Cricetulus griseus: one gene and its partner. The protein of the gene in region 1 purifies or fractionates together with the protein of each later gene. This does not show direct contact. Links are inferred from orthologs where the notes say so. Each region holds a gene or a part of one and is shown in the gene's direction. Other genes may lie near its edges.

Evidence for each region. The genes of interacting proteins can lie anywhere in the genome.
Region 2: the proteins of Apob (region 1) and Vcp purify together in Homo sapiens (affinity purification with western blotting, with the first as the bait; 3 studies listed by BioGRID). This does not show direct contact. The link is inferred for Cricetulus griseus from reciprocal best matches to the Homo sapiens genes APOB and VCP.

Annotation. Positions count from the first base shown.
Region 1 is NC_048600.1:18,391,913-18,395,658, forward strand, and holds the start of Apob (apolipoprotein B-100), read left to right. Parts: upstream 1-1,118; coding exon 1,119-1,203; intron 1,204-1,550; coding exon 1,551-1,589; intron 1,590-2,561; coding exon 2,562-2,677; intron 2,678-3,746. UniProt on the Homo sapiens protein: Apolipoprotein B is a major protein constituent of chylomicrons (apo B-48), LDL (apo B-100) and VLDL (apo B-100). Apo B-100 functions as a recognition signal for the cellular binding and internalization of LDL particles by the apoB/E receptor.
Region 2 is NC_048595.1:100,537,131-100,540,876, forward strand, and holds the start of Vcp (transitional endoplasmic reticulum ATPase), read left to right. Parts: upstream 1-961; 5' UTR 962-1,226; coding exon 1,227-1,243; intron 1,244-3,746. UniProt on the Homo sapiens protein: Necessary for the fragmentation of Golgi stacks during mitosis and for their reassembly after mitosis. Involved in the formation of the transitional endoplasmic reticulum (tER).

The DNA of each region.
Region 1 (3,746 bases):
GTCAGTGCATTTCCAGTGCAGTGACAGACCCTGCCTCAAAAGCTAAGGCAATGAGTGATTTTTGAGAAACACTAAAATGTGACCCATGACCTCTGCATGCATGTACACACAGGTGCATGGACATCTACACATGGGTACCCATGAATCTGTATTTGTGTCCACACACGACATACTGTAGTGATAGATACTGACTTCTACAACTGTATTTCCAGGACTCCAGTCCCCTCAGTTCCGCTCCACTGTCCCTAGGCCACCACTTAGAACCACTCCTTCCCAAGTGCCCCACCATCTCCCAACACCCACAAGAATTAACATTCTCTACATCCTACCTTAATTTTTTACCTGCAGCTTCCTCTTTATGAGGTGTATCACCCCCAACTAGATTGGGGGTGCTGTGAGGGCACAGCCCAGCTCAGACATTCACCTCTCCAGGCCATCACAGTTCTATCCCACTTTCTATGACTGACACTGGGCCCTGGTCTCCTCCAGGGGCGCGGTCTTCACTGAGATTTATGGGAGACTTCCCAGGTTTTCCCCTTTCTCCTCCCTCCCCACAGCCACCTGTACTGGTTAAATTAGTCAGGACCGGGCTGCTTATTCAAGCCCAAAGTCCACCAAAAAGGGAAAGAATTTAAGAAGGAGCCCCCACCAAGACATTAAGAACAGTTTACTAAATGGCTCCATAGTCAGCACAGGAGTGGGGTCGTTGTCCCTATGGCTGGTTGTCTCCTGATGACAGCCAGGGAAGGCTTACAGGACAGTAAGCCCACCATCCACTGCCTGAGACCCCCTGAGAAAAGACCAGCTCTGAGAAAATCTCAGGTGGTAGTGGCTGAACCAGCAGTGAGACCCCATCAGACTCAGTCTTAGCCACCCAGATATAAGCTTGTGTGGAAAAGCAAACAAGCCCAGGCCATGCCCTTTGGACCTTTGGCAATTCTCCCTAAGCCAGAGCCTCCTATAAATGGAGCACTTTGCAGGTGACCGAGCATTCATCAGTGCCTGCAGTGGATCAAGGACCTGACTGGGTGTCGCCTCGGAAGAGCCTGCAGAACCAGCAGCGGGGCTAGGCCGTGGCCAGGCCAAAGCCAGGGAGCCACCGAACCCATCCATCGGCCATGGGCCCACAGAGCCCTGCACTGCGGCTTCCGCTGCTGCTGCTGCTGTTCCTGCTACTCTTCTTGGACACCAGCGTCTGGGCTCGTAAGTGAGGGAAGAAGGCTCGGTGAAAGCCAGGGTGGGGACCAGAGCCCTGAGTTGTGGCTTTAAACCATCAGTTGCATCCAGGAGTGGAAACTGGTGGCAGGGTGACCGCTAGATAGCTTGGGCCAGGTTAGAGGGAGGGCAGCCGCTGAGGTTCTAGGGAAGGGGTGGTGAGAACCAGAGCTAGCAGGGGGCTCCACCGGGCTCCAGGCGAGGACAGTGGATGGGAAAGTTAAAAGTCTCTGGATAGCCCTAGAATAATGAAGGCCTCCGAGGGTCCCTCCTGTCAACCCCTGGAACCCACTGGAAAATAAGGGAGAGCTCAAGGTTTCCTTTTTCTCTTACAGAAGATGAAGTCCTGGAAAACTTCAGTTTGAACTGTCCAAGTAAGGCATTTCTCCACAGCGCACACTGGGCGCATTCCACCCTGCCCTCCTCTGCAACTATTCCTAAGGGCCTCAGATTAGGGGGCACTGCTCTGAGCCCCGGAAGCGAAGGTTTTGAGTCTCTGTGAACCCAGTCTCCTCTTCCAAAGGATCCCGGCCCTTCTGTCCTATTCCAAGGCTCGGTCCCGAGGTGGGGTAGGGAAGAGACTGTGGGCCCTGTAAGGAGACATTACTGTGCTGTTTATCACTGACTAATCATTGATTCCGATTATGTGAGGAAATGGCGACTTTAACCTTTGTGCGGAACTCCAGACCCTCCACCCCTTCCTATTTACCTGACCCTCCAGGTCAGAGGATCAATCGTGCTGCAATACCCAGTGTTCTCGGGAAAGCGCCAGGGTTGGCCTCCCCTCTGATGGGGCAGCACCGCCATCTGGTGGTTATTTGGCAGTATTACATCCGAGTTCCTAGCCAAGTTATTTTTGTCATATCAACCACAAAATTCCTGCCAAGCACAATGGAAAGAAACTTGCAGAAGTTTCTTCTTGGAGGGTGTCTGAAAGTCAGATAGACGGCCCTAACAATTAATTTTGTCTCAGGAACTTCATAGTCATTTCATGATAGCGTCTTCACGCTGAGAAATGCTGAGCCCTATCCCTTTGATAAGTCAATTTTTCAAAGGGTCTTCCTACAGATTTTTGTAGCTCCATTAATTGATGCTTGGCGCCCTCCCTTCCATGTACTTTAGATGATCTAAGGAATCACAAATAATTTAATCATCAGACTCAGAAAACAAAACAGTGCTGATGTTAAATCTATAAAGACAAATTAAGCATAATGAAAAGTCAACCACAAGTACTTGAGTTCGGTCACCACTTTTACCCTATGCCACTGACCCTCTCTGGCCAGCAGTAGCTGCCTTAAGAAAGTCGCTTCAGCTTCGGGGCTGACATATTTTTCTCCTCACTTTAGAAGATGCAACCCGATTCAAGCACCTCCGGAAGTACGTATACAACTATGAGGCCGAGAGTTCCAGCGGCGTCCGGGGCACTGCTGACTCCAGAAGTGCCACCAAGATCAACTGTAAGGTATGGAGGACAAGGGTTGGAGGGACCTGCAGCTGGAACCTAGCCTTGTCCCACCAGGGGCCCTTTGTAGAACGTACTAGCAGTTCCCAGCCCTGGCTGGAACCTCAAACTACAATAAGTCACCTGAATGAGAAGGCTGCCACAGGAAAATTTTCTAGACAAATTATTCTCCCATTAGCTTCCAAAGTGTTATTGGAGGTCATGGTCTAGGAGGCCAACAGGATTGGCCTACAGATATGACCATGGGAGAGGCCCATTGAGGATATAAAAGGTGGTCATTGTACAAGATTGCGGAGCCAACAGCATTTGCGATGTCAAGCACAACATGGAGAAACATTTAAAAACACTTGGTTTGTTAAAATGAAATGTTGAGAGACTTGCTATATTGCTGTCTGTGCCAGTAAAGTATATCCAAGGGGTGCTCCTGGGGTCTGTTGGGGAGGAGAAGCCCATTTTGCTGAGTTGCCCTTTTCCGTCTTGGGCCACAGTACTGGTCTTATACAAACACAGTGGGCATTAGCCACAGGTGGCCATTAAAGGAAATAAAATTTAAAATTCAATTCTTATTCTCATTAGCCATATTTCAGTATAGCCAACATCCAACTGTGGCTCATGGTACCACTTTAGACAAGAGACAGAAGAGAGAGAGAGGAGAGAAAGAGAGAGAGAGAGAGAGAGAGAGAGAGAGAGAGAGAGAGAGAGAGAGAGAGAGAGAGAAAGAGAAAGAGAGAGAGAGAGTGCTTCACCACCATGCTGGAATGTTCTTTGAATAGAACATTCAGAAAGCAACCATGGACCAGTTTTGGTTCTGCCCAGGTTTGAAGCTTTCAGCAGACACTTATCGGTGGAGTTTGGGGAAATGATGTCGGGAAAAGATTTGTTTTTCCCACTTGCTATTTTTTGTTTATGTATTAGCTGGCTTCATTTTGTTTTCTTCACTCTTATTCCACTATGCATTTCTTCTACAAAATCATCCCAAATTCTTTATGAGTAAAGTGGGTTCACTTAAAACCAATACAAGGGCCTTCGCCTTCCCATGCATAGGGGCAAACATAGACTTCTTAACTCA
Region 2 (3,746 bases), on another chromosome or scaffold:
GGTTTTGGTAGACCTAGTCTAGCTGTGTAGCACTAGCTGGCTTCAAACTCAACCCTCCTGCTTTTAGTCTGTGGAGTACTGGCATCTAGGATGAACACCACCATACCCAGCTGTTTTTTTTTTTTTTTTTGTGTGTGTGGTTTTTTTAAAATTTTATTTACTTAGTTTTGATACAGGGTCTCACTATGTAGCCCTGACTGGCTGCAATTATTATTTTTTTTTAATAGACCAGCCTGATTTAAATCTCAAGAGGTCAGCCTGCCGCTGTCTTCGAAGTGTTGAAATTAAAAGCATGTGCCACTACACTGCTTTTAAAATTTATTTTTGAGATATTCCTTTGACGCTAGAATTATAGATCTGCACCACTATGCCCAACCCGGTTTTGTTTTTCAGAAAAGGTCCTGAATTGATCTCCAACTAATAATTCTCCTGCCTCTGCTTCCCAATTGCTAGGGTTACAGACCTAGACCATCCACCACGCCCTTCGTTGGAGCCAGTGTTTTAAAGGGTTATTGTGGTGGAATAAGAGGATCGCCAGGATTGGCGAGAAATCGACTACGTGGGTTGCCATTACAACCCGACTAAACTAATAAGGGTTCAAGCCATTGTGTTAGGTTCTTCCAGCAGCTTATAAACTAAGGAGCCAATCAGCTGGAGCCAAGTAGGAGAGGCCTCCTCGGAGGCATTAAAGGCTCTCCTTTTACCAGACAATCTGGCCTATTCCTTTTGCTGATTGGTCAAGAATCCCAATCCGTCGAGGAAGCGTAGTGCTGCGGCCAATTGACGTGGCGTTACTAGGCGTGTTGCAGCCTTGAGGTGGGGCCAGGCCATAAACGAATTTTCTGATTGGTTGTGGTCCGCGGGTTGCTGGGGAGAGGCACGGAGAGGCGGGCACGAGTCCCAAGGCAGGCTCTGATTGGTTGAGGTGAGAGCAGCTTTCCTTCCGATGATTCGGCTCTTCTCGGCTCAGTCTCAGCGAAGCGTTTGCTGCCGTCGTTTGATTAGTCGCTGCCGCTGACCCCCTCGCGGATCAGGAGCTAGCGTCTCCCGCCCGCCTGCCGCCCCGGTGCCGCTGGGAGGAAGCGAGAGGGAGGCTGCCTGAGGGTTTGTCACCGCTGTTGATCCACCGCCTGAGTGAGTCAAGCCCGGGCCTAGCCGGTCGCCTGCCATTCTCATAGCCGTTACCCTCAGGCCGCCACAGCCGCCGACCGGGACAGGCGCGCGCCATGGCCTCTGGAGCCGAGTAAGTGTATGCGCGCAGGGCCGCCGCCCGCCGCGCCCGCCCGCCGGCTGGGCGGAGGCGCGCACGCGTGGGACTCGCCGCGCTGGGTAGGCCCGGTAGGGCCGCGTCTGAGGAGAGTCTAGGCCGGGAGGAGAGGGACGGAAGGAGAGGAAAGGGGCGAGTGAGGGCCTCGGGCCGGGCTGTGCACCCGCGCGCCCCCTAGGTCGGGCCCGCGCTGGGCCCGGGTCTGAGCCTGGGCAAGATGGTGCTGTGTCATGCAGGCCCCGGCTGGCCTGACGAGCTCCCTCGGCAAGGCGGCCCCGGCCTACTTAGGCCTTAGGGTTCACACTGCCGGCACGGAGCTCTGTGGCTCTGGGATGCCCTCCGGCCACTTCACCGACCACACGCGGAAGACCCTAAGCCCGCGAAGAGAAAACACTGCAAGCCGGAGGCCTCGACTGGGCCCAGTGGGCGTGGACTTTGGGCCACGTGAAGGCCTCAGGAGCCCTGAGACTCAGGGGAAGGCCGGGCCGAGCAACCTGGGGGAAGCCAGGTCGGCCTTGGTGGAGCCCGTACGGCCTTGCCTGAGGTTGGCATCTTTTGCATCCTGGGTAGTGAAGGGCCTGTTAGGTCGTGCTTTTCTCAGATGGCAATTTTTCACCATGTTAGGCCTGTTGTAAATACCAGGAAGCTTTACCTATTATTTTTATTATTTTATTATTTTTGCTATGTTCAGGGGGTGGTTAGAAAACTGTTTTTCTATTTTAACGTGCTGAAGTTAGAATCTGAGTTTGTTTTGTTTTTGCTTTCTGTGTTTTGACTTTCAGAGATTGCAGGTTAGAGTTGTTTTAACTTTTAAATAACTCTTAAATATGCACACTTATCCAAGCAGCAACGATCAGAGATTGTCTGGGCTTTAGGATTTTAGGGCCCCAACTTTTAAGGAAAGCATCAAATAAAACCTAGTCATTTCAGCCCATTCAGTTGAGAAACTAGAGTTTACCATACTGAAAACAAAACAAAAAGCAGCAAGCCTAGGAAACTATACAAATCTTCTGTCGATGTTTTGAGGTGATTAGGTGTTTTTAAGTTTCATTTCCTTGGAATGAAGTATTCACTCAGTTGCTTAGTTAAAAGTACTAATATTTTAAATAGCCAGGGTGTGTTGGGTGGTGCACATCTTTAATCCCAGCACTTAAAGGCAGAAAGTTCTAGGCTATCCTGGTCTTTACAATGGGAGTTCCTGGGCTACATAGACCTTGCCTCAAAAAACAACAAAATATACTTTAAAAGTATTCTGTGGTATTTTACCTTTGATCTCTCTCTCTCTCTCTCTCTCTCTCTTTCTTTCTTTCTGGTTTTTTTGAGACAGGGTTTCTCTGTGTAGCCCTGGTGGTTTTGGAACTCACTCTTTAGACCAGGCTGGCCTAGAACTCTGAGATCCATCTGTCTCTGCCTCCCAAGTGCTGGGATTATAGTTGTGCTCTGCCACTGCCCAGTGTAGACCAGATTGGCCTCAAACTCAGCCATGTAGTCAAGGCTGTTTTTGAATTCCTGGTGTTTCTGTCCCCTGTCCCCAAAGTAATGGGATTATAGGAAAATCACTGTATGCCCCAGAAACCAGAACATTTTATTTATTTATTTATTTATTTATTTATTTATTGGTTTTTTGAGACAGGGTTTCTCTGTGTAGCTTTGGAGCCTATCCTGGCACTCGCTCTGGAGACCAGGCTGGTCTCTAACTCACAGAGATCCGCCTGCCTCTGCCTCCCAGTGCTGGGATTAAAGCATGTGCCACCAACGCCCAGCTCAGAACATTTTATTTTTAAGACTGACTAAAATCCTCAAGATGAACTGGATGCTGCAACAGCTGCCCTCTTGGGTTTAGGTGTTGTCCCTTCACGGAATCCCTGTCTGAATATTCGATTGACAACTTTTAGGTGCTTCATTCGCCCACTGAGGCCAAAGAGACTGGAAGATCCTTTTTTTTTTTTTTAAATTAAAATTTCTGAAATCTGGCATCATAGGTGGTTTCTACCTTTAGGTTCTCACCTGAACTTTCCCAAGTTCCCTTGTGTGGTCTTTGAATTCTGGAAAGGACCTGAGTCATGCACAGATAGATTTTCGTAAAGAACATTTAGAAGCTGCAGTTGCTTTCAGCTCTGTTAGAGGTTACCAGCTCTAATCTCTATGGGTAGCTGAATTATAGGTCTTTTAACAGCCATACCACTCATCTCTAGAGCAAGGGTCTGGACTCATAGTCACATTGGAGGTTGTCCTGAAATCAATCAATCTCTCTCTCTCTCTCTCTCTCTCTCTCTCTTTCTTTTCCCAGACAGGTCCAGACAGGGTTTCTCTGTATGACAGTCTGGCTGTCCTGGTACTTTATAGACTAGGCTAGCCAATGCCAAGTGCTGGGATTAAAGGTGTTCATCACCATGCCCCACTTCTAAAGTGAAGTTTTGAGATTAAAATACAAAATGATAACTTGAAGTATTATCTTCAGTTCAGTCCTGAAAATAAG